Pelodiscus sinensis: one gene and its partners. The protein of the gene in region 1 purifies or fractionates together with the protein of each later gene. This does not show direct contact. Links are inferred from orthologs where the notes say so. Each region holds a gene or a part of one and is shown in the gene's direction. Other genes may lie near its edges.

Region 1 (9,322 bases):
CCCAGACAAGGGTGTTGGGAGACATCTGAGCCCAAACCCTGCGCTGGTAAGGGGCAGAGGGAAAATCAACTGTGCAGGTCTGCCACTGGACTAAGGAGATGGGGGTTCACTTCCCAGCTGTGCCACAGGCTCCCTGGGTGGCCATGGGCAAGTCTCTTCACCTTGCAGTACTTCCGTTCCCCATCTCCCAAAGAGGGACCAATCTCTCCTGCCTCCATGAATAGTTTTGGGGCTCAGTTTCCACTGGGCTAGGAAATGATTCACTAGGTTTTTTCTATCTCATAAGCCCCCCTTTCCACACACACACTGGCTACGTCTACACTGGCATGATTTTCCGGGAAAAGTTTTCCGTTAAAAGCATTTTCGGAAAAGCACGTCTAGATTGGCAGGATGCTTTTCCGTAAAAGCACTTTTTGCGGAAAAGCGTCCGTGGCCAATCAAGACGCGGTTTTCCACAAAAAAGCCCCGATCGCCATTTTCGTGATCGGGGCTTTTTTGCGGACAACAATACTATGCTGACTACACTGGCCCTTTTGCACAAAAGTCTTTCGGAAAAAGACTTTTGCCCGAACAGGAGCAGCATAGCATTTCCGGAAAAGCACTGACGATCTTACAGAAGATCGTCAGTGCTTTTCCGGAAATTCAAATGGCTAGTGTAGACAGCTGGCAAGACAGATGATTTTGCGGAAAAACTTGCCAGTCTAGACACAGCCACTGTGATCCACGCTGGGGAGCACTGATGGCATATCCTGCATTCCCCCTATTCTACACCCCCCCCCCCCTTCTGTGCAAATGCATGCTCCTTGAGATTTCGGCTCAGGAACAAACCAACGAAGGTGCTGGAAGTAGGGGGGTTGCAATCGCTGCAAGGCAGGGGAGTGGGGCAGCACAGGGCTAGACTGGTCCAGGCCCTGATCCTCACTGCAGCCTGGGCATGCTAATGAGCCCAGCTGTCAGGCTGGACTCCCAGAGGCAGCTGGCTCTTGTGTGGAGCCTCTAAGCATCTATGTATCATGTATCTCCCTCTTTGCCCCCATCCAGATGGCACAGTAAATCTCTGAGGAGGGAGGCCTCTACCTACCTTCTCAGGACAGCTGTCTGTCTCTGCTTTCCTCTTCCGAAAACTGCAGGCTTAACTGACTCACATCCCGACCAATGAAGGGGCAATCAGGGAGACAGCAAGAGGGAGCAAAGGAGAGGAGAGAGAGCCTGCTAACCACAGGACAGCACCACCTAGAGCTGCAGAAAACAGGCTGTGCAATGCTTGCTTTTTCAGGAGAGGCCGACCAGGCTGGCTCAGTACCCTGCAAAAAACACACCAGAGCTGCAAAAACAACGAGGAGTCCTGTGGCACGTTAGAGACAAACAGATGTATTAGGGCATAAACTTTTGTGGGTTAAAAGCACTTCATCAGATGAGTTGAAGTGGAGTTTACAGAGGCGGGGATGTGTGTGTGTATATATATATATATATATATATATATACACACACATGGATAACAAAAAGAAAGGATAAACTTAAAAAACAACAAATAGTCTGGTAGCACTTTAAAGACTAACAAAACATGTAGATGTATCATGAGCTCTTGTGGGCTCAACCCACTTCTTCAGCAGTCATCTGAAGAAGTGGGCTGTGTCTATGAAAGTTCATGATACATCTATGTTTTGTTAGTCTTTAAAGTGCTACCAGACCATTTGTTGATTTTTAAGTTTATCCTGTATAGACTAACTCAGCTACCCCTCTGAAGCAAAAGAAAAAGGGTCAATCATCTAATGAAGTGGGTTCTACTGACGAAAGCATATGCCCTAATCAACTTGTTAGTCTCTAAGGTGCCACAGGAATCCTCATTTTTTAAGATACTGACTAACAGGGCCACCAGTCTGAGACTTTAAACCAAACCTGTTATCTAACTCCAGATTCACACCAATGGCTCATCCGTGGCCCCATGTTCTTTGTAACTTCACAGGGAGGAGACCCTGCAAATTGTTTTGTTCGCATTGAAGATGCAACTGCCCAGCCGAGCTGTAGGAAAGAGATGTTTCTTCTGTGCTTATCTGGTGGCTTCCTGACCCCCAGCTGGGAGGCCAGAAGCCCTCATGTTCCACTCAAGTGGGGCTCTCCTGAAACCTGTCCCCTTCCTCCAGTCCTCCCACGCCCTGGTGCAAATATGACACACACACACAAAAAGGAAATTTAAGGCAACTAATTGCCACTAGAATCACACCTATTTTAAAGCAAAGTGTGCTGGAACAATTTTTATAGTGGGGGTGTTGAGAGCCATTGAACCAAACTGTAAACCAGGGGTCTCAAACTCATTTTACCTTGGAGCCAGTGCCAGTCCTCAAATCCACCTAGTGGGTCAGCAGGCACCCCTCTCTAGCAGGGTTCGGGGGGGAGTCTCCACACATTCACACCCCCCACGTGTCTCCCGGTCCCAGCTGCTAGTCTATGCACTCTTCTCCCATGCATCCCCCGGCACTGTCTGCCATCTCTGGGCAACTTAACCCTCCCCCCCCCCACAGGGGTTCCGGTGCCGCTACCAGTAGCACGGCAAGGCTAGAGCAGCTCCTCGCTGCTAGCGCTGCATCCCTGTGGCCCAGGAGAGATGTGTGCAGAGCCATCCCATCCATAGAACGATTTGATGCGGCCACCCCGGGCCCTGTGCATTGGGGGGAGCGGGGCCCACAGCAGCCACCCCAATCGTCCTATGGACAGAATGGTCCCCCATACTTAGTGATAGAAATGTAGCTGTGTTAGTCTGGTGTAGCTGAAACAAAATACAGGACTATGCAGCACTTTAAAGACTAACAAGATGGTTTATTAGATGATGAGCTTTCGTGGGCCAGACCCACTTCCTCAGATCAAATAGTGGAAGAAAATCATCACAACCATATATACCAGTGTTCATTTTTTTTAATTGTATCCTTTGGTATATATGGTTGTGACGATTTTCTTCCACTATTTGATCTGAGGAAGTGGGTCTGGCCCACGAAAGCTCATCATCTAATAAACCATCTTGTTAGTCTTTAAAGTGCTACATAGTCCTGTATTTTGTTCCCCATACTTAGGTTAGCCTGTGGGGCCTGGGGCAAGCTGGGGCTAGCAGAAGGGTTCAGGCTCCCCCTTTCCCCTCCCCCCACTCGCCACAGCAGGGAGAGCTGCAAGGAAGTGGAGCTACATAGCATGTCTGAAAATATGGAGGGAAAGTTCCCCCCACTCCCACCAGCCTGATCTTCTTTTCTTTGAGATTCCAGATGGTTATGAAGCTAGCTAAGCTTTCCGGCTGCAAATATCCTGAAATCCAGAGTGACGGTTTAACCCCCACCGAGCGTTAAGAATATTTGAGATGACCTTAGCTCAGATCTGGCCATTGGTGTGAGAGAAAGCAAGAAATGGCTTTTAAAAGGCAACATTATGATGATTAATGTTTTTTAATTATACATCAAGCACCTGGAGAAGCTTCAGGCAACCGCTAAAGCAAGTGAAGACACATCTCCTGGCCTAGAGAGTGCACAACCTACATGCAATCCAACACAATCCTGCAAGGAGACCCGCATGGGCTGATCCCTTCTCCTGCATGGATCCCCACTGGAGTTAATGAGACTCTGTGGGGCAGCAGGAGTCCACCTGCACAGGTCTCTTTTGCCGAAGGTCCTAAGTAGGAAATACCACAGACTCAACCTATTTACCATTGTAGGCTGCATGTGCAACTCTCTCCGTGTTATGTGGGTTGCAACTGCATAATAGATATATTACTTGTACAGCCCAGGGGGATGTCACGTGGGCCGTAGTTATGTGCTGATTGGGTTGTGGGTTGAGAACCACTGGCCTAAGGCATAGGCACAGCTAAATGTTTAGGAAGCCAATTATTTTTACATGACTATTATCTGTTGATGTGGTTACGGTGACCGTTGGGTGCCATGTGACAGGGGTTTAGCAGAAAGATGCCTTAGCATGGCAGTTCACTATTTACAACCACATTCTCATAGCCATTTATTATCACCTGTGTGACAATCATACCTAGGCGGGCTCTTTGGGGGATCAGGATGCATTGTGCCGGGTGCTGAACAAACCCCAAGAGCTCATCATGCTGCATTGCCGGGGGGCCCTCATGGCCACTGTCACTTCGCACCCATCGTCGCTCCATGTTGTGCCAATCTCAGGTGCCCTCTATAAGTCACCATCATGGCTCCCTTGCTGCCTCCCAAGCAGGGTCCCCCCCCCCAGCACCTCCCCTCAGGCTGGCCAAGTTTGGGCTCATCCGAGCTGGGCAAGGTGCCTCCCATCACCCCAGGCTGGTCAGTGCTCCCCCCATCCCCCAAGCTGGCCGGGGGGGGCCCATTCCCATCCCCCAAGCTGGTCCAGGGGGCCCCCATTCCCATCCCCCAAGCTGGTCCCCATTCCCATCCCCCAAGCTGGTCCAGGGGGCCCCCATTCCCATCCCCCAAGCTGGTCCAGGGGGCCCCCATTCCCATCCCCCAAGCTGGTCCCCATTCCCATCCCCCAAGCTGGCCAGGGGGCCCCCATTCCCATCCCCCAAGCTGGTCCAGGGGGCCCCCATTCCCATCCCCCAAGCTGGTCCAGGGGGCCCTCATTCCCATCCCCCAAGCGGGCCAGGTCTCCCCGCCCCACGTATTTCTACCCCCTCCCCCGGGCTCCCCCTCACCCTCGGGCTGGCCAGGGTCCGGGTCCCCCATCCCCCAAGCTGGCCAGGCCAACCCCCCGTTCCAGCCTCCCAAGTTGGCCAAGGCTCCCCCCTGGGAGATTGGCCCTTCTGGCCCCTCAAGCGCCCTCTCGGTGGCCCCTCCCGCGGCGGGCCCCTCTTGACGGACCGCGCCGGCCTCTCTTTGCTCCCGGAAGTCGGTGTCGCTTCCGCTTCCCCCCCTCCCCCCGCCGCCGCCTCTCTTTCCCCCTCCCCAGGCTGCCGGCCCGGCTGTAAGATGGCGGCGGCGGCCGAGTGCGATGTGATCATGGCGGCGGCCGAGGGAGCCGGGCTGCTGGGCGGCGAGGAGGAGACTCGCAGGTAGCGGGGCGCCGGGGGGGGGGCTCAGGAGAGAGCCGGGGGAGGGACTGAAGGGGGGGTCGGGGCCCCTTGGGGTGGGGGAGGGGAGTGGGGCCCGGTGGGGGGGGGTTCTCAGCCCCAGCCCCCCCCCCCTCGCGGCCCTGTGACCCTCCCAGCTCCGGGGTGTCTCAGGGCCCCGGCCCCCTCCCGCACTATGGGGGGGGGGAGGGGGGAGCGCAGCACCAGCCCGCCCCCGCCCCGCTGGCCCCCGAGGTTATCAACCCTCCCTCCGCCTCTTCCTTCTGTTGAAATCCGCCCCCTCGGGCGGGGTGATGGGGGGGTGCCCCTGTGACACCCCCCCCCCACAAGGATGCTCTGTGCAGATGCCGCTCACCCCGGTGATCGTTCAGGAACCCCCCTTTCAAGCTGAGTGGGTGGGGGGTCGGGGGTGAACCTACCAGCTAAAGATGCATTTCTCCCCCCCACCCCGCCATAGCCCGAATGGTTTTTATACCTTGCCATGTCTATAACCCCCTGGGCCTACTGGGGGTTTTATAACGGGTAACTCCCAAGGAATGCCGTCTGGGCATTTCTAGTGCACCCAGCCCTGGCGGCAGTGTCCAGGCTGTAAATCCCTGCACCATAGAGATTACGGTATAATGAACAAGGATGGATGGTTGATCAGTAACCGGGGAGAAGGTTATGGTGGGCTGTTTCACTGGACCAATCTGAAGGCAGATGGCAGCAGATACATGCTTAATACTTACTGTCCTGACTCTGCAGAATTGATTTCAGCCCTGAAGAACAGGGGGGGTTCACAGTGGAGTCAGGGAAGTTCAACAATTCAGTTCCCTTCTGCCCTTTAATAAGTATGCTTGGGCTTGTTTAGTTTGGAAAAAAGAAGATTAAGGGGGGACATGATAGCGGTTTTCAAATATCTAAAAGGGTGTCACAAGGAGGAAGGAGAAAATTTGTTCCTCTTGGTTTCTGAGGACAGGACAAGGAGTAATGGGCTTAAAGTGCAGCAGGGGAGGTTTAGATTGGACATTAGGAAAAAATTCCTAACTGTCAGGGTGGTCAAATATTGGAATAAATTGCCAAGGGAGGTGGTGGAATCTCCCTCTCTGGAGATATTTAAGAACAGGTTAGATAGACATCTGTCAGGGATGGTGTAGATGGAGCTTGGTCCTGCCTTGAGGGCGTGGGGCTGGACTCGATGACCTCTCGAGGTCCCTTCCAGTCCTATTATTCTATGATTCTATGCCAGATTTGGGGAGCATGGCCAACAGCCCCCAGCATGTGATGCTTTGTTTCAGGGTGGTTTGGCTTGTATGTCAGATGCTAAGCTCTGGCCTTTGCCAGACATGCCTCTGTGTTAAAGGCAGGGGTGATTCCAGTTGTGGTCTATTATACAGAAAAGGTGCAGTGGTCTTTTGGCCAAATCTTGTGCCATATAGAAACCCCAGCCTACTGTATAGTGCCCGTGATGGGTGCTATACAAAACACTGATAGGCAGTAATTCTGGGTTTCCGAGAGTTTTGTGTCCTTCTCTCAGGACAGGACTGCTCTGGGGATAGCATGCTCCCGTCTTTATCATTTCTGCCCAGAGGCAGTATCGATTAGCACTGCCATTTTCAAACTGGGGGTCAGGACCCCAAAGTGCTGACTTAGACTGGTTGAGGCCAAAGCAGAAGCTTAAGACCCATTGCCCTGGGGCCAAAGTCCGAGGGTTTCAGCTTTAGGTAGTGGGACTCAGTTTACAGGCCCTCTGCATGGGACTAAAGGCCTTGGGGTTCAGTTTTGGCCTTCCCCATGGGGCAGTGGAGCTTTGTCTCCCTCCTCCCCCAGACCATGGGGCTCAAGCTTCAGTCCCCCTCCTGGGGTTGCATAGTAACTTTTGTTGTCAGAAGGGGGTCACGGTTGTGAAGTTGGAGAATCCCAAGACTAGGGTTAAACTCTGTATGTGGTGTGGAGGGGGAATCCTCATGGCTCAAACCCCTTGAAGGTGGTTCAGATCCTTTTCCCTTCTCTAACTCCATTGCCTGAGGACTTCACAGTTACAATTGCACCTACCTGTACAGAACAGTTACTGTTGGAGATGTCTGATAGCGTGGAGCAAGTTACACTCAGAGTCCTGCTCTCAGATACCTGTCCTGTGTCAAAATGTTCTCTGGGTATGGTGGTTCTCCAAAGTACACTATGTTTTGAAGGCAGGGTTAGTAATTGTTGAAAGACCAAATCAGCTTCGTGCCTAAAGCTAGTTGGGAAATATTGCCCTGTGGTGCAGATACCGTCTGAGGTGTGGTGTGGTGAGAATCCCAGCCCTTTCCTCTGGTAATGAATTCTCTTTACAAGAGCAAGTGCTTTTATCTCCACCTGCTGCTGTGCTGTTGCAGTCACAGCAGGGGATGAAATTTAAAGATCAGCCTTTAAGAAACACCGTGCTAAGTTCAAGTGTTTAAAACAGGCAGGTGAATCTCAGCAGCCGGATGTCTCCGGGGGGGAATACCACCCCATATAGGATGTGGCAGAGCCTGTCATTCTAGAGAGGGGTTCACCTCACTGATGCAGGAAGGCAAAATGAAACTGAAAGGTACCTTGGAGTAGTTCCAGTTTCAAAAGGGCGGCCTGTGATATGTGTACTGCTGCTGCTTAGCTCTCAAAGGGTGAGGCCAAGGCAGTGGCATCGGAAGTATTTGTAACACCTTGAGGGTGTTAATTACATATATAAATCACGTTGTAGAAAAGGCACTTCAATGCTACATAAAGGATCCAAGTGTCACAGAGTTACAGAAATTCTTAGTACTGGGAAAGCCCTACAAAGTTTCATGTAATCCACAGCCTTCCTGTGGCTAATGTAAGGTTGTTCCTTAAAGTATTCTCTCCAGGGCTTTGTTCGCTTTAAAATGACTACTTTAAATATTAAAAGTATCAACATTTAAAAACCATGAACTGGGCTTAGTCTTCCTACTACAGAGATCTCTTGGCACCAACCTTCTCCTCTCTACCTGTGTGCAGAAGGCACCTACAGGAAATGAAATAGTCATGAATAAAATGATCCCCATTGAAAGGACTCAGGAGTCCCAGAAACAGAAAAACTCTGACATCCTTAGTAGGAGAGTTGGTTCCTGGCCCACTCCACATAGAACCTTGGGAATGGAGAGCAAAAGCAACATAGTTCACTCAGATATCTTGATGGGATAGGGACAGTACCTCAGTCCTGGGTCATTACAGTTTATGGCTTTATTTTTCCCTTTGGGGTGATCCTTTCTTTTAATTTGATTGAGGGATGGAAGGGCAGCACTTGTGATCAAGAACTTCCTGGTTAATCTTCTGTTTGCCATGAAGCTCCTTTCTGGGTTCGAGCAAGTTCTTTGGCCTAGTTTACCCACTTGTAAAATACAGATTCTGCTCAGCTGCCTCACAGAGAATTATTTGAAGACTTAGCAGATCTCTGTAAAGCCTGTTGTACCATGCAAAGTGCTGTAATAACATAAGAATGGCCATGCTGGGTCAAACCAAAGGTACATCTGGCCCAGTCTTCTGTCTTCCAACAGCAGCCAATGCCAGGTGCCCCAGAGGGAATGGACAAGAACTGGTAATCACCAAGTGATCTATCCTGTTGCCCATTCTCGGCTTCTGACAAACAGAGGTTAGAGACGCCATCCCTGTCCATTCTGGTTCATAGCCATTGATGGACCTATTCTTCATGAGTTTATCTAGTTCTTTTTTAATTCTTTGCCTTCACAACATCCTCTGGCAAAGAGTTCCACAGGCTGGCTGTGCGTTGTAAAGGCTAAGCATTGTTGGACTTAGACTAGCCCTCAGAACCTGAGGTTTTCACTACAGCTTTTGTAGAGTATGTGGGTAAATTTCCTATTTAGAAAAACCCACCCGGCAACCTGTGTGAATTATTTGGACAATGACATTGTGGTTTTAGACTAACCTTGCCAAGTGTATGAACATGATCCCTGATGCCTGCTTCTGCTCACCCAAGGCGGAGGGAAAAAAAAAAAGACGTTAGCAAAGCAGTGATTTGTATTTCAGCTTAATTGGTCTGCCATTGTACTGAAACAACTGCAGATAAACTGAATGTGTCAGTTGCAGGTTGTTTAAGAGACTTATCAGTGGCAGGAATGGAATATGGTCACAGGATAATGGTTGCCTCTGCTGCATAAATTCCAGAGATACTTAATGGAAAATGATTGATGTAAGTGCACTAATTTTATCTGATGGTACAGTTAGTGACAGTTATTGTTGAACAGCTGCATTCTGATTGGCTAAAATTCTGTGTTCTGATCCAATCACAGATCAGCATAT
Region 2 (10,112 bases), on another chromosome or scaffold:
GTTCCCAGAATCCCAGGCAAAACAAGCTGTCATTTAACTTCAATGACTGGTTCTCAACCCACCTTCAAGCTGTTTGTAGGCAGGAAACGACATGCTACTTTTAAAACGCAATCATTTATTTGCAAAGGGGACACGCACGTGGGCTGTTTAAACAGCACAGTATGGTAGCTTCCTCACTATAAATAGATGTTTGCCTCCTGAATGTGCAGGGTGCCTTGGCAACCCTACTAAATTTAGCAGTGTTAGTCATACCAGAAAACATAGATGTCGCTTGCTGGGAGACATGGCCTTTTGCTAGTCTCCGGGGCGGTTGCTTTAGTTAGATCCATGCTATCTAAAGAGCAGGGCATCCTCTTTTATGTCCTGAACCCCTGAATTAAGATCTGCAGGTCTTAGAACAAGACTTAAAGATTCAGTTCTGCATTTATCACCACAAACTGCTTATTGGTCCTTATTTTGCAGAATTAAAATGCACTTCACAACTATCTATAGTTTTGCAAACTCCCTAGGGATAAATCAGTGTTATTCCCCCCTCTCAGGAAAATGAGGCACAGCGCAGCAAAATGGTCACTAGCAGAGTAGAAACCAGGCATCATGATTCCCATCTGCACCCCGTGAATACTAGACTCCACTTTTTTTCCACAACTAGGGACAGAACCCAGAAGTCCTAAGTACCAGACCCCCCTGCTATAACCATTATCTCTAAAAAGGAGTGAGGTATAAGGATAGAATCCAGGAGGCCTGATTCTCAGACCTTTCCTGCTTTAACCATGAGACCACCTCTCCTTAGAGCTAGGAATAGAACCCAAGAGTCCTGGCTCCTGATTTCCAGTTCCTCCTCCCCCACATCAGCTCCTTCAAATGTTTTACAGAAAGCAGCCCAGAAGTTTGCACTGCAGCTTCTGCAGGCGCTTCCCACCATGAAACTCCTCTGTGAAACAGCTGAGATTTGTGCCCAATGAGGAAAACACCCTGCAATTATATGACATCAGGTAAACCCCCGGGGTCACACTGAGTGAAATTGCTGCAGGGAGTTGAATCCTTGCAAAGGTACTTGTGTATATGGAGCATCCCGCAAAGCATGTGCACCATGTACAAAAATCATATCCTGGGAAATACACAAGTGCACAAAAATTATGTAACCCATCCTCTTTGCTGTACATTGCTCTTACCAAAATTGTAGCATATATACCATAGCACCTAATACCCATTTTGCATACCATTCCATGCCATGTGTCACCATTTCAGGGTAGCTGCACCTGTATTCCTTATCTGTGTGGTCTCTCCAGTAGTGGCCAGTCAGGGCTCAGGCTCTTTGGGTATGTCTACACTACGCAGCTTTTAGTGACAAGGCTGCGTTGACACAGCCTTGTCACTAAAAGTGAGCATGTGTGAATGCTGTTTATTGGCATTTTTGTCAACAAAATACTTCTACTCCCAAATAGGAGGTTTTGCTTTGTCAACAGCCGAGTGCTCCTTCCGACAAAGCAACATTCACACTTTCACTTGCCACGGCAAAACTGTCTGTTCATGATGAAAGGGGTACTTAAGCGCCCCATGAATGACAAAAGTTTTGTTGATAAATTGCAAGTGTAGACATAGCTTTTGTCTACACTTCTAAAAATTAAAGCGCAGTCATGACAGCACTGTGCTTTAAACTGAAAGTGAGGCCACATCTAGAGCACTAGGAGAGCTCTATATCAGTGGTCCCCAACATTTTTACACACAAGATCACTTTTTGAATTTAAGTGCAATCCAAGATCTACCTCAAACCCAAATATCCTTGCCCCCCTTCCTTTGTGCTCCTTGCCCTGCCTCTCTCTGAGGACCTGCCCCTGCTCACTCCATCCTCCTCCCTCCCAACACTCACTTTCACCAGCTGGGGCAGCGGATTGGGGTGCAGGCTTGGTCTTGGATTAAGGGATTTGGAGTGTGAGAGGAGCTCTGAGCTGACCTTGGGGCAGGCAGTTGGGGTGCCAGAGGGAGTTCTAAATGTAGGCTCTGGGAAGGTATTTGGATGCAGAGGGGTCAGGGCTAGGGCAGGAAGGGGGTTCATGTCTTGGGTAAGGGTTCAGGCTGTGGACTCCAGCTGGGCACTGCTTACCTCAGGTGGCTCCTGGGTGATGGTGCAGTGGGGCTAAGGCAGGCTCACTCCTGCCCTGGCCCTGCACCACTCCCAGAAGCAGCCAGCAAACTTGCTCTATCCCAAGTCCTGTTGTGCCCCCTCTCTGCTCTGTGGAAATACAATACAGGATGGGAGAAGGGGGCACCTTGACATCAGCACCCTTTCTCTCCCTTCCCTGCCCTGCACAGCAAACAGGAGGCTCCTGGGAGAACAGCTCCAAGGTAAAGGGCAGGAGATGTGCAGAAGTAGGAGAAGAGGCAGCTGAAGTGCTGGCACTTGATAGCCACGTGGCCAAACCAGTCAGGATCACCTGTCAGAGGCTCCAAGATCTACCAGTAGGTCCCAATCTACTGGCTGGTGACCACTGCTCTATGTAAACCATCTCCAGGAAGGGAACAGCTAACAGTGCTGGGAGCCCATTTACACTGGCACTTTATAGTGCTATAACTTCCTGTGCTCCAGGAGGGGTGTTTTTACACACCCCTGAGCCAAAAGTTGCAGCGCAGTAAAGTGGCAATGTAGACTTAGCCCTAGAGTTTTAAGGCTGCACTGAAGAATCCTCCCCATACACTGTAATATCCCCAGCCAGCCATTCTGCCTGAAGGCTAGACCTTAGTGTTTTTATGAGTGTGACCACATAGGTCTTTCTGAGCAAAGTACATTTTAACAACCAAAAGAAAAAAGCACACAAATACAAACAGTAAAACTCCATATAGGTTTACTAAACGCGATAGACATCACCCATCAGTTTAATAGGGTGCGTCTACACTGCACCCTTACCTTAAAATGAGCTACGCAAATTGCGCAGCTTATTTTGAGGTAATTTCAAAAGAGCTTATTTCTACATAGTGCCAAATTTCAAAATAAAGCACTATTCCAAAACATCCCTTAACCTTAATCGAACCAGGGTTACAGGAACACCAGAATAGTGTACCTGTTATTTTGAAATATTTTGAAATAATGGGCTGCTTTAAAGATGCGGAATAGCTATTTGGGGATATTTCTGATATCCCAAAATAGTGCCGTAGTGAAGGCGTAGCTATAGAGTCCTAGTCAAAACCTTTCAGCAAGGATGGTTGAGGTTTCCCTAGGAGCCAAGATCCTGTCCATCTATTTAATCAAAAAGAAGACTCCCAAGACTCTCCAAACTCAGTTTTTAGATACCCAAAGTCTTTGTTTTCTAGTCTATGGATCAGTATATACATGGAAACCACCCAAGTGTTATTCTTTCTGGAGCTGGTTACAATTTCTATAGCTGTTTTTTGATCCTGGTATTAGCTGAGATACCCCACAGAACTGTGTACAATTCCTTCCTCAAAATAATAAGCTAAACTTTCATAAATGTATTACAATAGACTCTCCAAGAACACTGCATGTGGTTGCAATCAGTGTTTCCTGTAAACTGTGTGGTTGAGCAGTTCTTGATAAGAAATTCGAATGCCACCTAGTGATTAGCAGAGTGAGTTTTTTTCTACTGGTGGTACACATTTGCACATGCCTCAGCACACACAAAGTTTTATTCTGCACATGAATGGAAAACATTAAAGGGAACACTAGTCACAATAGTCAGCCACCATGACATACAAATTTCATACAGTTTGTACCAAGGGATAGTTGCTTAAATTCTAAGACTCACAATGTTTGCACTCATTTATTTACAACGAAACTCTGGCAAAGACTAAGGCTACGTCTACACTGGCCCCTTTTCCGGAAGGGGCATGTAAATTTCACTAGTCGTTGTAGGGAAATCCGCGGGGGATTTAAATATCCCCCGCGGCATTTAAATAAAAATGTCCGCCGCTTTTTTCCGGCTTTTAAAAAAGCCGGAAAAGAGCGTCTAGACTGGCCCCGATCCTCCGGAAAAAGTGCCCTTTTCCGGAGGCTCTTATTCTTACTTTGAAGTAAGAATAAGAGCCTCCGGAAAAGGGCACTTTTTCCGGAGGATCGGGGCCAGTCTAGACGCTCTTTTCCGGCTTTTTTAAAAGCCGGAAAAAAGCGGCGGACATTTTTATTTAAATCCCCCGCGGATTTCCCTACGACGACTCGTGAAATTTACATGCCCCTTCCGGAAAAGGGGCCAGTGTAGACGTAGCCTAATAGTTCCAGGCAAGTGGGACTGGAATAGCGCTGCTATATTATGGCACAGTGTTTCTCAACCAGTGGTACAAGTACCCTTAGGGGTACTTGAGAGAAGTCCGGGGAGTACATCAACACAACTGAAATTTGAAGAAAATTGAATTTTTGTTTTAAGTTTTACAGCACTTTATTCTTTTTGTACTTTTTACACCCAAAAATTGCATTGCCTGCCCAGCTACGATTAAGTTGTTTAAACAAATGTGTTGCAATAATAGAAAAAAAATTGTGAGTCTGAAAACTGTAGGTACTGGGGGGGGGGGGGTACATATAATTTTTCTTAAGGAGTACCATATTAAAAAAGGTTGAGAAACACTGTTGCAGCATGCACGTGCTCCCCAGTAAGTACAGGCACACAAAAGATGAGGCAGGTACAGGGTGCAAAAAAAAACAAGAGAAAAATACACATGGATTGGGCGAAGGAGTAGGACCACAACCACAGAGCCTGCTCCCCTCCCTGGGGCGTGCAAGCTACATGCAAACAACCTTCTCCAGCAGAGTGTGTACAACGCACGCGTGAAAACCCAACCGTATTAGGGGCCACGGAAAGCACATGCAAATGTGTTTCTCTTACACGCATGCGCAGACACCGCCTCTCGGGAACTCCAGCTCAGCCCCCACCAAGCAGAACGTCCCTCCTTTAAACTCTTGGAGTCGCCCAATAAGGAAGCGATGATGACGTAGACCCGCTCCGCTCAATCAGGACATAGCGCCTCGCATGTCGTCACCTTGTTCCTCAGAACCAATGAAACGAATGGAAAATTCCAGAAATGTCTCTAACCAATGGACACGGCCGTTAGAATCACGAGGGGTCTCCAGGCCAATGGATTTTGAAGATTGCTGAGAGTATTAGAGATGCTAGCCAATCACATGGGCAGGGCGGGGGGCGTGGTCCTAGGTTGAGATCCAATCACAGTGAGGGCGGGTAGAAGGAAGGCTCTTCGCGGGGCGTATTGATTGGCATACCTCCAGACTTATGAGACGCGGGGTAGGCGGGGCTAGTTGCGAATTGACATCTATGTTCTCGTATCCCTATGCGAATCTCAATAATCCCGCCCTGTTGGCGCTACCGAGGCGGAGAATAGGTAAGGCCCGGCCTGTGAGCGACACCCTTTCTAATCTATGGTGGCACTGAGGGGGCGGGACCCGGACGCGTACCAACCAATGGGGCGGCGAGGGCGATACAGGAGGCTTCTAGCAGGTTCCAGAAGGCGGCGTGAGACGGGGTAGGCCGGCTCGGAGGAGACTTAACCGGCAGCGTCCCGCAAAACTGGGCCCCGAGCCGGAGCCATGGAGAAGGTGAAGGGCCGGGCCTGCCAAGGAGCGAGCTGGGCTGTGTGCTGGCGGGCGGGGTAGCTGCAGCCTGGGGCAGGAGGTGACAGCTACGAGGGACGGCGCCTGGGGAGGGAGTTGGGGGGCAGGAGCGCGGGGTGGGGTGAAGCCAGGCAGGGGAGGGCCCGGGGTAGGCGACTTTGCCTCGAAGAGGTGCAAAGGTCTGGAGGGAGCGTGCTGCCAGATGCGTTTTAGCCCCCTCGTGTAGACGGGGCGAAGCTGTGTGTTAACCCGCGCTGGTTGGGCAGGGACACCCCCCCTTTCCGCCTATCGCTTCTCTTTACCTTGATTGCATGAGAGTGCCCGAATGAGCGACGTGAACGTGCCTACTGAAGTGACCACTCGGGAGAGGGCGGCTGGGCTCTGAGGCTACTGCAGAGCCGTCTGGGGCAGTGGAGCAGGTGTGAGACGAGGTAGCCGAGAGTCCTAGAAGTTGGTGGTAGCAGGGTTTCTGGGAAGCAGGCATGCGGGAGGAAATAGAGTGGTTTGGGCAGGAGGTTTCCTCGGAGCTAAAAAGGGGAGCACGAAGAGATGGACTGGCTAGTAAAGTAGGTAGCACAGGGAATCTGCATTGAATGTGAACAAAATGTATAAGATTGATTGTGTGTGTGTGTGAGAGAGAGGTTCAGTGTGCTGTCTGGAGATATGTAGCTGGGATGTAAGTACCATCTTCTCATTTTCTGCCTCACTTTTGCATGTGCATGCAGAAGTCTCCCTTGCCTCATCCCCCTGCAATAGAAGGCATGCCCAGGAAGGAGTAACTGTTCATGCTGAGTAGCTGTTGAGGTCTCCAAGCAACTATGAACTATGTATTGCATTCTAATGCTGGAGATGGCGGCTGTAGACAGACAGCTGACCTGCTGCTTAAACAAAGCCTATTAAGGTGCAGTAAGGAGACCCTGGAGTATTCTCAATCGAGGAAGCATTTGGAGCAGATGTACAGGTGGCATAATACAAAAAATTGTCACCAGAATCTCCCTTCTGCTTGTCCCATTTGAAGAGGGCCTGTCGCTTTGGTATGGGTAAAGGCTGCTCAGCTGACTTTGCTTCTTGAAGCATAGCAGATCACTGACTTGAGGAAGCTGCTTTATCTTGGAGTAAAGCAGTTTTGTTAACTTCACGTCTTAGTTTAAAATGTACGTTGCTATGGAACTAATGTAATTGAGGTGCTTATCCTTGCTAGAGCCTAGGTATACTATGGGTGACGGCAATGTGAGTCTCCTACACAAGCACAGCATTGCCAGTGCCCTAAAGTCCTGACCTACAAGATCCCAACTAGGGATGTTAAAATGGGTGTAATAAAGTAACTGTGTAAAATTTTCAGCAGTTACACGCTGAGTGGCAGCCAGCTCCTCAGGAGCTACTGTGTGCAGAGTCAGCTCTCCATATGTACTGGCTCCTGCCTGCACCCCACGCTGCTGCCTCTGTATCAGAATACCTGTTCATCATTGCACACAGGCAAACAAAGTTTGCACATTACACTTTCATATCCTGTGTTTGTCAATGCTCCTCAGTCCTGACATGCAGCTTCCTACTGTCCAAGTACTAAATTCCACCCCTCACAGCTTTGCTGTTGCCTGTCAATCCCAACTTCCTCCCCGCTTCACAAAAGGAATTCCTCCTGCCTCCACCCCTGCAGGCATAACTCCTGATTTATCTCTGCAAGTCTTCATTTCTGTCTTGCTTTCTGGCTTGAGCAAAAATGCCCAGGTATTGCAGTATTATATATTCCATACAAATGTTGGCTAGGAACTGGAATGAAGCTCATCAAAATTATCTCTACTTATATGGCTTGTGTCAGAGTGTAAATCCAGTTCTAAAATGGGCGGGGAGAAAAGTTCTTAGTTTGTATCATCATCTCTGAGCTGTTGAGCCCTGGCACTCACTAATTTTCCGGCTAAACAGTAAATGGTCAGGCTTACTGGTTAACAGGCCCTTGCCATCTCTGGAGTTAACTTGCCAGCTGTACCTGGAGAGGCCAGCTAGCAAAGTGGCAGTATCCCAGAACCAATGTGGGACTTAGGTTGAAACAGTTTTAACTGGTTAATCATTTTAACATCCCTGTTGAAAATTAAAATAGAATGTAAAGTGTGGTGGTATTTTTTAAAATTTGATTATTCATGCTTCTGCCCCAAATAGTAAGGCTCTTACGTTGTCAGCTAATTTGGGAGCTTCAGGGGGTAGCTGAGTTAGTCTGTTACAGGGGAAAAAAAAACCAGTAAGCAAATGGTCTGGTAGCACTTTATAGGGTGATCCTTCAAAAGTTTTTAGAGGTAGTAATTATTTTGCTATTCATGGCATATAATTTAAAGATCTATTATTGCTCAGGCCCCATCAGTACTGAAAAAGGAGTTGCATTGTAATAGTTTTAGGGAGCCATCTTAACACTCCCTGTAGAAGGGAGACTTTTGATGTAACTGGGACAAGCTTCTGTTTGTACTGGCAGAGTTCAGGTTATAAAGTACTTGGAGAGTGGAAGTAATAGGCTGAGAAAAATGCAAATTTTGTATGCAGACTTCCTAGGGAGCTCATTAGAGTTCCTACCTGATGTGCTGTTGAAGTGACTCATCAATGATTGCCTTCCCTTGGCGGAGACATCTCACTAGCAGTTGCTGGGTTTTTGTGATGTACTGCATCCCCATCAGTTCACACTTGCAGGGAAGTCACATCTGCAGACTTTACCTGCCTGGTGACTTCTGGGTCTTTGGAGTATTTGAGCTGGGTGGTTAAATCACAGCTAGATTTCCTTTGACTCCGGATGGACCGAATGGCCCAAGCTGCATCATCTTAGAAGCAGATGACATTTTTTGGCCTTTGTTTATGAAACTAGCTGAATCAGTCATGTTGGAGAATTCCACCCAAGCGGGGTCCTGAAAGGGGAGAATTAGCTGTCTGGGTGAGAATTGAGAGGGATAGACTTGCTGTCTGTGATTTGGGGTGTTCACAGACCTCTTATTGAGGAATCTGGAGTCCTTTGGTATTGCACAACTTCCATGTAACAGCTATGTCAGTATCCAAGTTCTTATTGAATTTCTGCTGTCAAGATGCATATCTTGCTCTTATATTAATGTTTCTGGGACTGTTAAAGGAGGCATTGTCTCCCATCAAGTAAGTATTGAATAAGTGGTTTCTAGTGAAAAATTATTCTTCCTATCCCAAGTGCTGTTAGCAGTAAGACTCTAAGCAGCTGCTGCTTGAGCAGGACTCGAGACATTAACAAGGAGCACTCTTTAAAGTCACTTTCCTGCAAGTGATGCAGTGAGTTGGGAAAGATAATTCCAAGGCAAGAGGATTCCTTTGACACTTCCACCCATAGCTGATCATGCTAATCCATTGCTCACTCTTGCCCTTTCTCTGATAGGTGAACGAGTTGAAGGAGAAAGGCAACAAAGCCTTGAGTGCAGGCAACATTGCAGAAGCCATCAAGTACTATTCAGAAGCAATAAAACTAGATTCCAAGAACCATGTGCTCTATAGCAACAGATCTGCAGCTTACGCCAAGAAAGGGGAGTACCAGAAAGCGCTGGATGATGCCTGTAAAACTGTTGAGCTGAAGCCAGAGTGGGGCAAGGTAAGGGTCCTTCTCTAGATTCTCTTCGGGGTCTTAGGCTACATCAGTGTTTCTCAAACTGTGCTCCACGGAGCTCCAGGGCTCTGAGAGACCTCTCCAAGGGCTCTGCGAGATTGACAAACTGGAAACATTGATAGGTACAACATGTACAATCAGTGGACCACTGGGGCTCCGCATAAATTTTTACGCATGTAAAGGGCTCCGGTGCCCAAAAAGTTTGAGAACCACTGGGCTATGTTGTCTTGCTTGTGAACTGAATGTTAGGGCTGATGTTAAGAAGGGCTGATCACAATAGTGACTTTGTGCCTTAAGATCTTAGTCATTGGAGAGTCATGGTTTGCTGTAGGTGCTGATTGGAGTTAAAATATGGCTACCACCTGGCTCTCCCTAGCCATATATGGCAGGAAAAGTTGTATTGTACCACAACATAATCATGTTATCTTCATAGTTCAAACCAGGAATAAATGAAACCTCATTGCTCTAAAAATATACTTCAAGAGAAATCCCTTTGATTTTTGACAGAGAGATTCAAAGGAGCTGGAGTTGGGTGACTAAATATCTTAAAACTCTGGGAAAATCCCAGCTTGTTGTTTCATGTACTTGTGTAGTTTCTGTTACTTTAGTGGTTTTGCATTCTTTAACACAGTTATCTCAATCTTTAATATGCAGTCCCACTGTGAGCAAAGCAGTTGCTGTTAACCTTGTTTTACAGATGGGGAACTGAGGCACAAAGAGACTGACTTGCCCAACATCACATAGTTTGGTGTAGAAACTTGAACCTCAGTGTCTTGAGTTTAATCCTGAAGAGGTTCTCTTCAATCAGAATGGCTTCAAGTCTCTGGGAGAAATGTTTGTGGCTGTTCTGTGTGTTGTCTGTCATGTTGGTTGTCACTGGGAACTGAGTCACAGATCCTCAGAGATACATAAGCTATGAATCACGATAACATGAGC
Region 3 (10,449 bases), on another chromosome or scaffold:
ACCTGGGGAAGGGCCTGGCATGGGGCAGCAGCAGGGGTTACCCCCCACTCCCACTAATCACAGCAGCAGAAGCCAGAGCTACTGGGCAGCCGGCTTTGCCCTGCCCCCCTCTCCCAACCTGCTGTGCTCAGCTTCACTGTAGCAGTAGGATGCAGAGAGCCCCAACCCAAGGGGGCTCTACTTCCCTCTGCTGCAGAGACGCCAAGCAAAGCAGGCTGGGAGAAAGTGAATGGAGTAGGCTGCTGGGCCGCTCCAGCTCCCACTGCTGGAGTCAGAGCAGGGAGGGAAACACCTGCTGCTGTCCCACACCAGCCTCCCAGTGGCTCGCATTGCTTGGGGGAGTGGGCTTCAGCAAGGGGAATGGGGAGGATGTCGGAGAAGCAGGTGAGGCTTGGGAAGGGGTGAAGCAGGGGTGGGGCCTGTGCAAGGTGTGGTGCCCTGGGTCCCAAGCCTACAGTACTGATGGGGTATGCCCCAGGCCTCCCTACCCCAGGAATGGCCCTGTGTAGATACATGCATATATAGGCATATGTGTCATGTGTATGGTAGTGGACACACACTTGTACATTTCCTGTTAAGTCTCTAGCTGTCCTTGAGGTTTTTCCCTCCTGAGGTGATTTGATGTATTTGTTGCTGTAATTTTGCAGATTTGGGGCTAGCTCAAACTGTTTTCTGAGTGAAAACACAAAGTTGAATATTTTAAGACATATTTCAAGTCTTTTAACTTGCTCAGCAACAACTCAAAAATGTCTCAATAAAAACCATCCAGCCTAAGGAACAAAAAACCAGGAGAGTTTAAGATTTGCATAACTTTTAATATATTTTTATAAATACAGGCACAAACCATTGAAAGCCTGACATCCCATTTTAAAGTGAGATTGTGGCAAACCCCCAGTGTTGGGAGAGAGCGAATTTATAGTGGTCACACAAGAGCATTTGAGTGAGAGACACTACAGGAACCTTGTTTTTTAAGTTTTGTTAATCCATACATCTATCATGCTGTGATAACCGTTCAGGCCAGATTTCTGGTCTTGTTCCTGTTTTCATGGAGGCTGCATCCTGCTAGCATGAACAAAGAGAAAGTGCTGAAATAAAACACCACTTGCTAATTGGTTTGAATGGTCTTTTTGGGTTTGCATTGGGAAGTCACTAAGTCAAATGATACATTTAGCCCCTACCTTCTCCTTTATTGTTCTGCCAAAAGAGTTTGTTGTCTGAACATTCCCCCAATCATACAGGGCAACCAGATTTTCAAAATGAAAAGATCTGGTGATGTGTGCCATGTGTGTCACATTCAGCTAACTGCAGAGAGAAAGATCTGAGAAGTGGGGGAGGAAGGGTAAGATTGTTGGGTGGTGGTGGATGCCAGCCAGATACAGAGAACATCAAAATGGTAGGTAGACGACATAAATGGGAATCACTCATAGCAGCAAAGAAGTTATTTTACCTCTGTAATTGGCACTGGTGCAACCAGTGCACAACAATGTGTCCAGTTCTAGTGCCCAAAGCAAATTCAGAAGTGTTGGGTAAAGAAGATAGCAGCAATTGTGAGACAGTGCATGTGTCTTGCCGGAGTCTGTACAGCTGAGAGACGGGAAGGGGGAAAAGGCTAATTTGTGTCTGCAACGTAGGGCTCTGGAGCCAAATGTGGCTTAGTAGGGAACCAGATATGGCTCTTTTGTAGTTTGAGGTCAGCCCACCCTCACATCCCCCGCAGCAGGGAGCGTGCACTGGCACTCCAGTCTCATGCCCGCCCCTGCAAGATTGGACCACCAGCACCCACTTCCTGCAAATGGAGGGGACAGGCAAAAGCCCCAACCCTCCCAGACAGATCCAGTTTGTGGGGAAGAAGCCAGAGCTAGAAACAGCTCTGTGTGCTGCTTCCCTTCTCCCATCTGGGGTAACAGTAGCACAGGGATGTGCTTCCTGGAGGCTTTTCCCGCTGCTCCTATTGGCTGGAATCCGGTAAATGGGAGCAGCGGGAGGCCATGCCTGGAAGTGGTGTGAAAGCAAGTAGGTGCTCCTCCATATCCTTGAAACCAAGACTTTGCACCCTCACTTACCACCCTGCCGAGACCCCACACCGCCTTTCCTCTCACTCACTGCCCTACTGAGTTCCCGTACGCCCATCCCCTTGCCCCCTGGTGACACCTTGCAACCCTACTCCCAGCACTCACTGACAATATTCCCTCTAAGATTTTCCATCTGTGAGCGGAATGAGTTTTGTCTTGCGCCCTAATATTGAGGTCATGTGCACAAGGTGCACAGCCTCACTGTGGCCCAGCTCCAGCTGCGGCACCCAGAGCAGTCCCTCTCCCGCCACATGGCTCTGGCCACTGGAGCATTGCCCGTGTCACACTAACCTCCACTGCTGCCAGGGACTCACCCCAGCAGATCTGCTGCAGCCCGGGACTCCCGCATTCTGCCTGGGCTGTGTGATGGCTGCACCCGGGTGTGGCCATGGTGCTATTTTTAGCACCAACGCCATGGCCCAAGAGCAGCTGCACCACGGCCCCGGCAGCAGTCCTGGAACATGGGGCAGCCACCCGTCATGCAGCCCCGCCCACAGGAGCTGCTACGCCCATGGCTGTGTGGCCGCTGCTAGGGCCGGAATTGCAGCTTCGGCCGTGGTGCTATTTTTAGTACTGTGGCCCAAGCTCCAGCTCCCAGCTGCTGTGGTGGCCGCCCAGCTGTTCCTGGGTCGGGGCAGCCACCCGCCACATGGCCCCACCCCCAGGAATAGCTGGAACCACAGCTGTGTGGCTCTGCTGAGGAGGTGGGTGGGACTGAAATTTTTGGTGCGTGCCTTCGTAGGTGCACACCTTAGAAGGAACATTGCTCACTGCCCTACCAAGACCCCTGAACCCCAGCCCCCACACTCACTACCCTGCCAAGACCCTGCACCACCAGTCCCCTGTGCTGAGATCCCGCACACCCAGCTTCCTTCTACACTCTCCCTTGCTCTTGTACCTCCCCCCTCACTACAGACCCCACCACCTATCTGCTCCTGCACCTTCCCCCTTGGCTTCACACCCTACCACCAACCTGCTCCTGCACCCTCCCTTGCTGCTGCATCTCCCCCCGGCCAGACACCCTATCCACCCCTAACTTGCTTCTACACCCTCACTTGCTCCTGCACATTCCCTCCTGGCCAGACACCCTACCACCAGCCTGCTCCTGCATCCTCCCTTCCTCCTGCCCCTCCCTGGAGGGGAGGGATAGCTCAGTGGTTTGAGCATTGGCCTACTAAACCCAGGGCTGTAAGCTCAACCCTTGAGGGGGGGCTAGTTAGGGATCTGGGGCAAATCCATCCGGGATGGTACTTGGTCCTGCCATGAGGGCAGGGGACTGGACTTGATGATCTCCCAAGGTCTCTTCCAGCTCTATGAGATAGGTATATCTTCTAGTGTGGCCCTAACCAGACACCCTATTCCCAGCCTGCTCCTGCACCCTACCTCCCACTAGGGATGTTAAATATTGGTTAATTGAATATTCAAGTAATCTCATGAATTTTTATTGTTTAGTTGACTATTCTATAGTCCCTGGGAGAGGAGCTGGCAGCCTCTGTATCAGAGGCAGCAGCACAAGGTGCCAGGCAGGAGCTGGTCCACAAGGGGAGCCAGTTTATAAACCAGCTCCCCTCGTAGACTGGATGCCTGTGGCCCTGTGCTGCTGCTTTGAATACAGAGCCCATCAGTGGGGAAAGGGGTCTGAGCTCCTGGACCCGGCATGAGCCAGCACTGAGCTGGCTGCTGGCCAGCTTATTAAAAAAATTACTGACATGGGGGAGAGGGAGAGGGAAATGCATGTAGTTTATAGCAGGGGTTTCCAAACTTTTTGACATGGGGACCAGTAAATCCATTCACGGGCTTTTGGAGGACCGGTAACATGCATTTGCATATTTGCATATTCATTAAGCAAATGATGAATATTCAAATAAGTTGCTTCTGGTCCTCCCAAAGCCCCCAATGCCAGCTTTAGCAAAGCTTTTGATATGGTCACCCACAGTATTCTTGCCAGCAAGTTAAGGGAATATCGATTGGATAAATGGACTGTAAGATGGATAGAAAGCTGGCTAGACCAGGGTTTCCCAAACTTTTTACTTTAGTTGGAACCCGTTTTTTTTCAGTACTATTTTTTACAGCCCAAAAATATAAACGCATATAAAAAAAATTAAAAATGAATAAATTTTCAGTGTTTCACCCAGCTGCATCCTCCGCCCAGCATGGGCCAGGGGTTGGGAGACCCGGCACCCCATGGGCACTCTAGGTGGGTGCAGGAGCAGATTGGGGGTAGGGTATCTGGCTAGGAGGGAGGGTGCAAGGTGGGGTAGGGTTGCCAGGTGTCCAGTTTTGTACCGGACAGTCTGGTATTTGAGGGTTCTGTCTGGGAAACAAATTGAGAAAATACTGGACATATAAAATGTCCGGTATTTTCTAATTAGGTAAGTTTTATTATTATTAGGTGTATCAGTCCGTAGCTGTGAACTGCCTGGCTGGTAGATGTGCTCATGCTGTGTGTGTCTACCAGCCAGGCAGTTCGCAACCACTCGAGGGAGGATATGGGGAGGAGGAGCAAAATGGAATCCCCAGGGCTGGACTCACTAGTGTTCCGGGTCTGCATGTGCCTGGGTCAGTCCTGCTTCCTGCCAGCCGATTCGCCACCCCCCCGCTCCTCCACTTCTCCTCCCGATCTCCCCCAGCCCCCCCATCCCTGCTTCCACCGCTTGCCCACCCGCCCCGATCTCTGCGGTACAGCCCCGCTGCCCCCAACCCTGCTTCTGCAGCCCACCCACCCACCCCCACCCCGATCTCTGCCGGCCGCCCCCCCCCACGCACACTACCCTGATCTCCGCTGGACAGTCCCACTGCCCCCAACCCTGCTTCCTGGCGGCCAGTTTGCACCCCACACACACCTCCTCTCAGCCCTCCAGCCCTGCCCCCCTCCCGGCAGCCATGCTGTGGCCCAGTGTTTTTTTCCCATGGCCCGGTATCGGGTGCAGCCCATAGTTTGGGAAACACTGGTCTATAGCATTAACCTATAAGCTTTTGCTTATTGGTTAAAAGGTTAATCAGCTACACTATTACATCCCCATGTCTCACCCAGACCTCCCATCCTCACCCCCACCTCCTGCCCAGATCCTGCATCCCCATCCCTATCCCACTCACTGGCAGCCTTGTCCTCTACACTGAACACCTCATTTTTGGCCCCACCTCAAAGTCTAGGAGAGGCCACAAAATCCACTAACCCTGGAACTCCAGAAGAGAATATCTGGCCTGAGGCCTTGAACCTCAGTCTTCCCTGCCCCTCTCTTCCCCCATGGGGCTGGAGCACTGGGTGAGTAAGATGTGAGATATTTCAGTTGGGTGCCACATCAGTGAGGGTTGGGGGGTTTTGGAGGGTGGGTTTTTGTTTTAAACTTCTCACTTGTGTGGTCCCTGACTGATTTTTCTGTGGGCCAATGGCCACAGACCCAAAAAAGGTTCCCCACCCCTGCCATAAATAAAGATAAATGTTGAAACCTTTTGTGTTGGACATATTTTACTTTATATAAAATGAGGCCTGGCCAACAAAGAACCAGTTGGGGTCCAGCCTCTATCTGGCCCTAGCCCTGACCCTAGGGCAGGCCCTTTAGTCCAGCCCACATCTGGCTGCAGGAAGGGCTAGTGGCAGCCCCACTCCTGCTGTGGCATGAGGCGGGGGGGAGCCTGCCCCAGTGCTGCAGCCCAGCCCTTGCCAGGTAAAGTAATCCAGCCTCAGCTCCCATCCCCAGCACCCTGCCCTGCCTCCTGCACCTCCCACACACCCCAGCCCCCATACACCTCAACCCTGACTCCTGCAGCCTCACATTCACAATCTGCACCCCCAGCAGCAGCAGAAGTCCCCTTAAATAAAGTCTGGGAGTGCAGTGTTTCATTTATGCTGTTATTAAGCATCATGCCAGTTATCAATATTGTGTATTTTCAGTCCTGCAAATGGGCATTCTTATAGGACTCTTTGTTAACCACTAGTTCTGAACTGGGATGCAGCGTGGTGCCTTGGTTTGAGGAGGTTGCCGTCCCTGGGCGCACCCTCCAGCAGGCACAGGAAGCAGTAAGAGGCAGAAGCAACAGTCAGTGCTGGAGGCCCTGGGGGCCCAGGCAGCAGAAGGTGGCAAACAGGTGCGGGAACTGCAGAGCAGCGCTGGCCGGGCCGGAGCAGCCGTGGGCCCAAGGGGTCACCCCACCTCTGGCCTAGACCCTCGCCCCGGCTGGGCCCAAGGGAGGAGCCCCACGGAGCAGCGGGGAGGCGGAGCCCGAAACCCGCCGCGGCCCTTCGACGCCTCCGCCGCCCCCCCCCAGCCGCGCGGCTCCCGGTCTGCGGCGCGAGGGCGACCCCTGCTGCCCCCCGCGGGCACTGCGCGCCGGCCGGCCGGCTCCTCCCCGCTCAGCTGACGGCGCCGAAGCCAGGCTGCCGGCAGCCATTTCCCGAGCAGCCTCACAACAAAGGAGCCCGGGGCCACGACGGGTATCGCGCCCCGCCCCCGCCCTCTGTGGTCGCCCCGCTCCCGGCCCGGGCCCCCGCCGCTCCCCGGCCCCTCGCCCGCGGCGCCGCTGGGGCCGGGCCGGGCTGCGCTGCGCGCTGCGGCCGCGGGGAGGCGCTGGCGGGCCCGGCCCGACCTCACTTCCTGGCCAGGCCCCGGTGCGGCTGGCGGCGCGCTCCCGGCGGCTCCTTCCCCGGCCCCCCCGCCAGGCCGCGGCAGCTCGGGGCTGGATGGGCGCGCGGGCTTGAGCGGCGCTGCCTGGAGCCCGCGGCAGAGGAAGGGCGGCGGCGGCGAGCGGCGGACCCCGCCAGGCAGGGGCGCGGGCGGGGCGCGGGGGTCCCGGGGGCTCGTGCCTGCCCGCGGGCGCTGGCTGCAGGGCGGCGGCGCTTGTGTCCGCGCTGGGACGGCCTGGTGCCTCCGCCTAGCCCCGTGTGAACGGGGGCGCCCGGCCCGGCCCTGGGCGCAGGGGTGCGGGAGAGGTCGGTGCGGGGGTTACACGCCAGATCCGGGAGCGGTGGTTTGGGGCGATGGCTCCTATTGGCTGAGCCGCCCTCTCAGAGGCGTCTGCGGCCGTCGCTCTGCATAGGGCCTGAGGCTATCAGCAGGGCTGCACGGCCTCGTGGGTGCTCTTGAGGTGAAGGCAGAGGGGGTCATGCCCTGTGTCCCCCGGCTTGCTTGTGTTCATCCAGGCTCCCTCTCTGCACAGCCCTCCCCGGATCCGAAGGAAGCATGTTCCGGTTCATGAGGGATGGGGAGCCAGAGGACCCCATGTTTGCAATGTGCGTATGAAACTCCAAATATGTATTGTCTGGTGTGGGAGTGGGTCCAAGTAGATGACATTAGGGAAGACTGGGTGTCAGGACTCACAGATTGTATTTTCCACTCTCAGAGGGAAGTAGGGTCATGGTTAGGTCAAGGAGTCAAGATTGGTGGGGTACCTGGGACTTTGCTTCCTAAGGTTTCCTCTTCCTGTTGACCCCCTGCAGGGACCCTTTTGCTATTCACCGTCAGCATATGAACCGCATGCTTTCTGGAGGCTTTGCATACAGCCCCTTCCTCAGCATAACTGATGGGACCATGCCTGGGGCACGTCAGGCCAGCCGCAGGATGCAGGTAAAGGGGATGCTGAGTATAGTTGAAGAATCTGCCCTGTGACTTCCCATATGGTTAGGATGGGGCAGTTCTCTTTGCACAAAGTGGGGGAAGGAAAACTAGTCCCCTAAAACGTAGCTGTTATATTTCTTTTACTTCATATTCTTCCCTCCAATCCACTGTCTTGCAGAGCATTAGTGTCTTGGGGTGATGGAGGACAAGTGCCGTTTTGCAGAGCTTAAATTAGAGGGGGGGAGGGGGCAACTACGACCCATGGGCTGCTTCTGACTCCACTGACCCTTCAGTTCACCCCCAGGCTCCTACTATGGAATGGGTCATAACAGCCTTGCTAGAAGGAGCTAGACTAACTCCTGAGTAGGGGGGCAAGCAGGGGCAGCTAGCTCCTAATATCTCCCATTCTGTCCCCTCAACTCCCCCAACTCCTGGCAGTGTGGTCACTGTGCCACCAGCTCTAATGCTCTGGGCTGCATGGCTGTAGCTCCGGCTGAGTGGCGCAGTCAAGGTGGGGGTTGGAGCAGGGAGGGTTGGATGGGGGAAGAGGTCCTAGGGGTGGGACGTTGGGGGGTTGGATAGGGAACAGGGAGTCATGGGGGAGCAGTCAAGTGGTGTTGAGCTGGGACGAGGGAGTGGAATAGGTGATGGGCAGTCAAGGGACATGGAGTGGTGGGAGTTGGATAGGGGGCAGGAAGTCCTGGGGAGCTGGTCAAGGGGTGGAGAACTAGGGAGACTGGATAAGGAGCAGGGAGTTCTGGGGAGCTGGATGGGTGTGGGAGGTGAGCATCAGGCAGGAGTTGGGAGTTACAGCCTTTACCCTTCTCAGCCCTTCATATAATTTCCATATCTGCTGTGACCTTCAGGCCAAAAAGTGTGCCTGCCCTTGGCCAAAATTAATCTCACTAGAAGAGGTTTGAAGGTGTCGCTTCTCCCCCAGCCTATACCTTAAGTGCAGTGGAGGAGCATGCAGCAGTTTGAGAGACAGTGTTTGTTAAATCATTTGGCCACTTGGTGGACTGTTTCTTTCTATTTCCTGTGATGGGGAAGGAGTCCTGAGTATGGACAAAGGATGAGTCCCTGCTAACTTTTCTTTCTCTTTTTTGCTCCCTGCAGGCAGGAGCCATCTCACCCTTTGGAATGTTGGGAATGGTAAGGCCTCAATTTCTCTGTGCAGCTCTGGGGCCTTCCCCAAAACATAACATCCAGATTTACAGCCCCCCAACAGGTCACTTTATCCCCAAGTTCTTCAGGTGCTCCAAATAATCAGCAGTGCTGCGATGCAGCCACCTCTAGGTGAGCGTGTCGGCAAATACAATACTGGGAAGGGGGAAAGAACATGGACATCGGGGCAAACCCCGGATCATAGGAAAAGACCCTAACACGGTGTGGGCCAGTGGGTCGGAAACCTGGGCTTGACTCATAGCTTTCACTGGCCCTCTGACTTTCTGAGGTCAATTTATTTTTCTGTGCCCCCTTCAGTCTGTTTAGAGTAGAGTTTCTCTTATTAAATGGTTGCACAGAATCTTGCACAGTTGAACCCTAAGCTCAGTTGCTTCTGTGATACAACGAATAAATACACAAATGGGAAGAGCAGGCGGAACTCTGGCTGTTTAGGTATGACCCTGCAACCCACCTGCCAAGCAAGCTGCCTGGAGCTCAGAGGGGGGCAAGGCTGAGACTTGGATTCCAAGGGCAGGTAATAAATCTGAGCTGGGGACTATTAACTATTCAGGAAGAAGACCTGGATACCATTAAAGAGTCTTAATGACAACCTCTGCTTAATGGGTAATGGTTGTAAAATAAGCCAACAAAACATTAGCATGTCCAGGAATAGGACGGAAAATAATAACTGAGCTATTACAATGTCTTTCCATAAATCAGTGGGATGCCCTCACCTGGAACACTGTCTCCTTCCCCCCCCCCCCCCCCCCCCCCGGTCACCCTCTCTCCGAAAGGACATAGCAGGAATAGAGGGAGTTCAGTCATGGGTGGCAAAAGTCATTGGAAACCTAAAGATTTTCATATGAAGCGAGATTACTGTTTCTGTTAGGGAAGGAATGAATAATAGGTTACATAAAATGAGAAGTCCTGTGACACCATAGAGACTAACCAAAATATGTAGAATCATGCACTTTCATGGGCAAAACCCACTTCATCAGGTGAACTGGAGTGGAAATAACAGAAACCAAGAGATTTTACTACATGCACACATGCAGCAGAAGTATCTGTCAATTATAGGACCCATGTTAATGAAGCTAATTAAGTGTCTCATACATATACTTTGATGTGGAAATGCAGATGTTAATGGCAGGACACCATCACAGGACCTAACCACATAAGACACGACATCAGGGGCTCATACAGCTGCATCTCCTCTAATGTGATCTATGCCATCAAGTGCCAGCAATGCCCCTCTGCCATGTATATTGGCCAAACTGGACAGTGTCTGCACCAAAGGATAAATGGACACAAATCAGACCTCAGAAATGGTAACACAAACCTATAGGGGAACACTTTAACCTGCTTGGTCACTCACTCCTGGATTTAAAAGTAGCCATCTTCTACAAAGGAATTTCATTAACCAATTACAGAGAGAGTCTGCAGAACTGGAATTTATCTACAGATTTGACACCCTTGCCCTGGGCCTAAACAAAGACATTAACAAGTTTGGCAACAGGGTTTGTTGCAGGGGTGAGTGTATATGATGTGTGGCTGCTGGAAAGGATTTGCTACTGGTTGGGGAGCTGCCTGTAGGCAGGGACTGGTCTGTCTCTCAAGGCCTGTGAGAGTGAGGGATTGTTTTCCAGGATAGGTGGTAG

The links.
Region 2: the proteins of DNAJC7 (region 1) and STIP1 purify together in Homo sapiens (affinity purification with mass spectrometry; 4 studies listed by BioGRID and IntAct, with this or other methods). This does not show direct contact. The link is inferred for Pelodiscus sinensis from reciprocal best matches to the Homo sapiens genes DNAJC7 and STIP1.
Region 3: the proteins of DNAJC7 (region 1) and MLF2 purify together in Homo sapiens (affinity purification with mass spectrometry; 3 studies listed by BioGRID and IntAct, with this or other methods). This does not show direct contact. The link is inferred for Pelodiscus sinensis from reciprocal best matches to the Homo sapiens genes DNAJC7 and MLF2.

Annotation. Positions count from the first base shown.
Region 1 is NC_134739.1:9,682,601-9,691,922, forward strand, and holds the start of DNAJC7 (dnaJ homolog subfamily C member 7), read left to right. Parts: upstream 1-4,869; 5' UTR 4,870-4,940; coding exon 4,941-5,023; intron 5,024-9,322. UniProt on the Homo sapiens protein: Acts as a co-chaperone regulating the molecular chaperones HSP70 and HSP90 in folding of steroid receptors, such as the glucocorticoid receptor and the progesterone receptor.
Region 2 is NC_134721.1:33,439,562-33,449,673, reverse strand, and holds the start of STIP1 (stress-induced-phosphoprotein 1), read left to right. Parts: upstream 1-5,401; 5' UTR 5,402-5,548; coding exon 5,549-5,557; intron 5,558-8,951; coding exon 8,952-9,161; intron 9,162-10,112. UniProt on the Homo sapiens protein: Acts as a co-chaperone for HSP90AA1. Mediates the association of the molecular chaperones HSPA8/HSC70 and HSP90.
Region 3 is NC_134711.1:138,444,098-138,454,546, forward strand, and holds the start of MLF2 (myeloid leukemia factor 2), read left to right. Parts: upstream 1-6,432; 5' UTR 6,433-6,507; intron 6,508-6,547; exon of another isoform or gene 6,548-6,834; intron 6,835-6,843; exon of another isoform or gene 6,844-7,229; 5' UTR 7,230-7,252; coding exon 7,253-7,302; intron 7,303-7,509; coding exon 7,510-7,636; intron 7,637-8,743; coding exon 8,744-8,779; intron 8,780-10,449.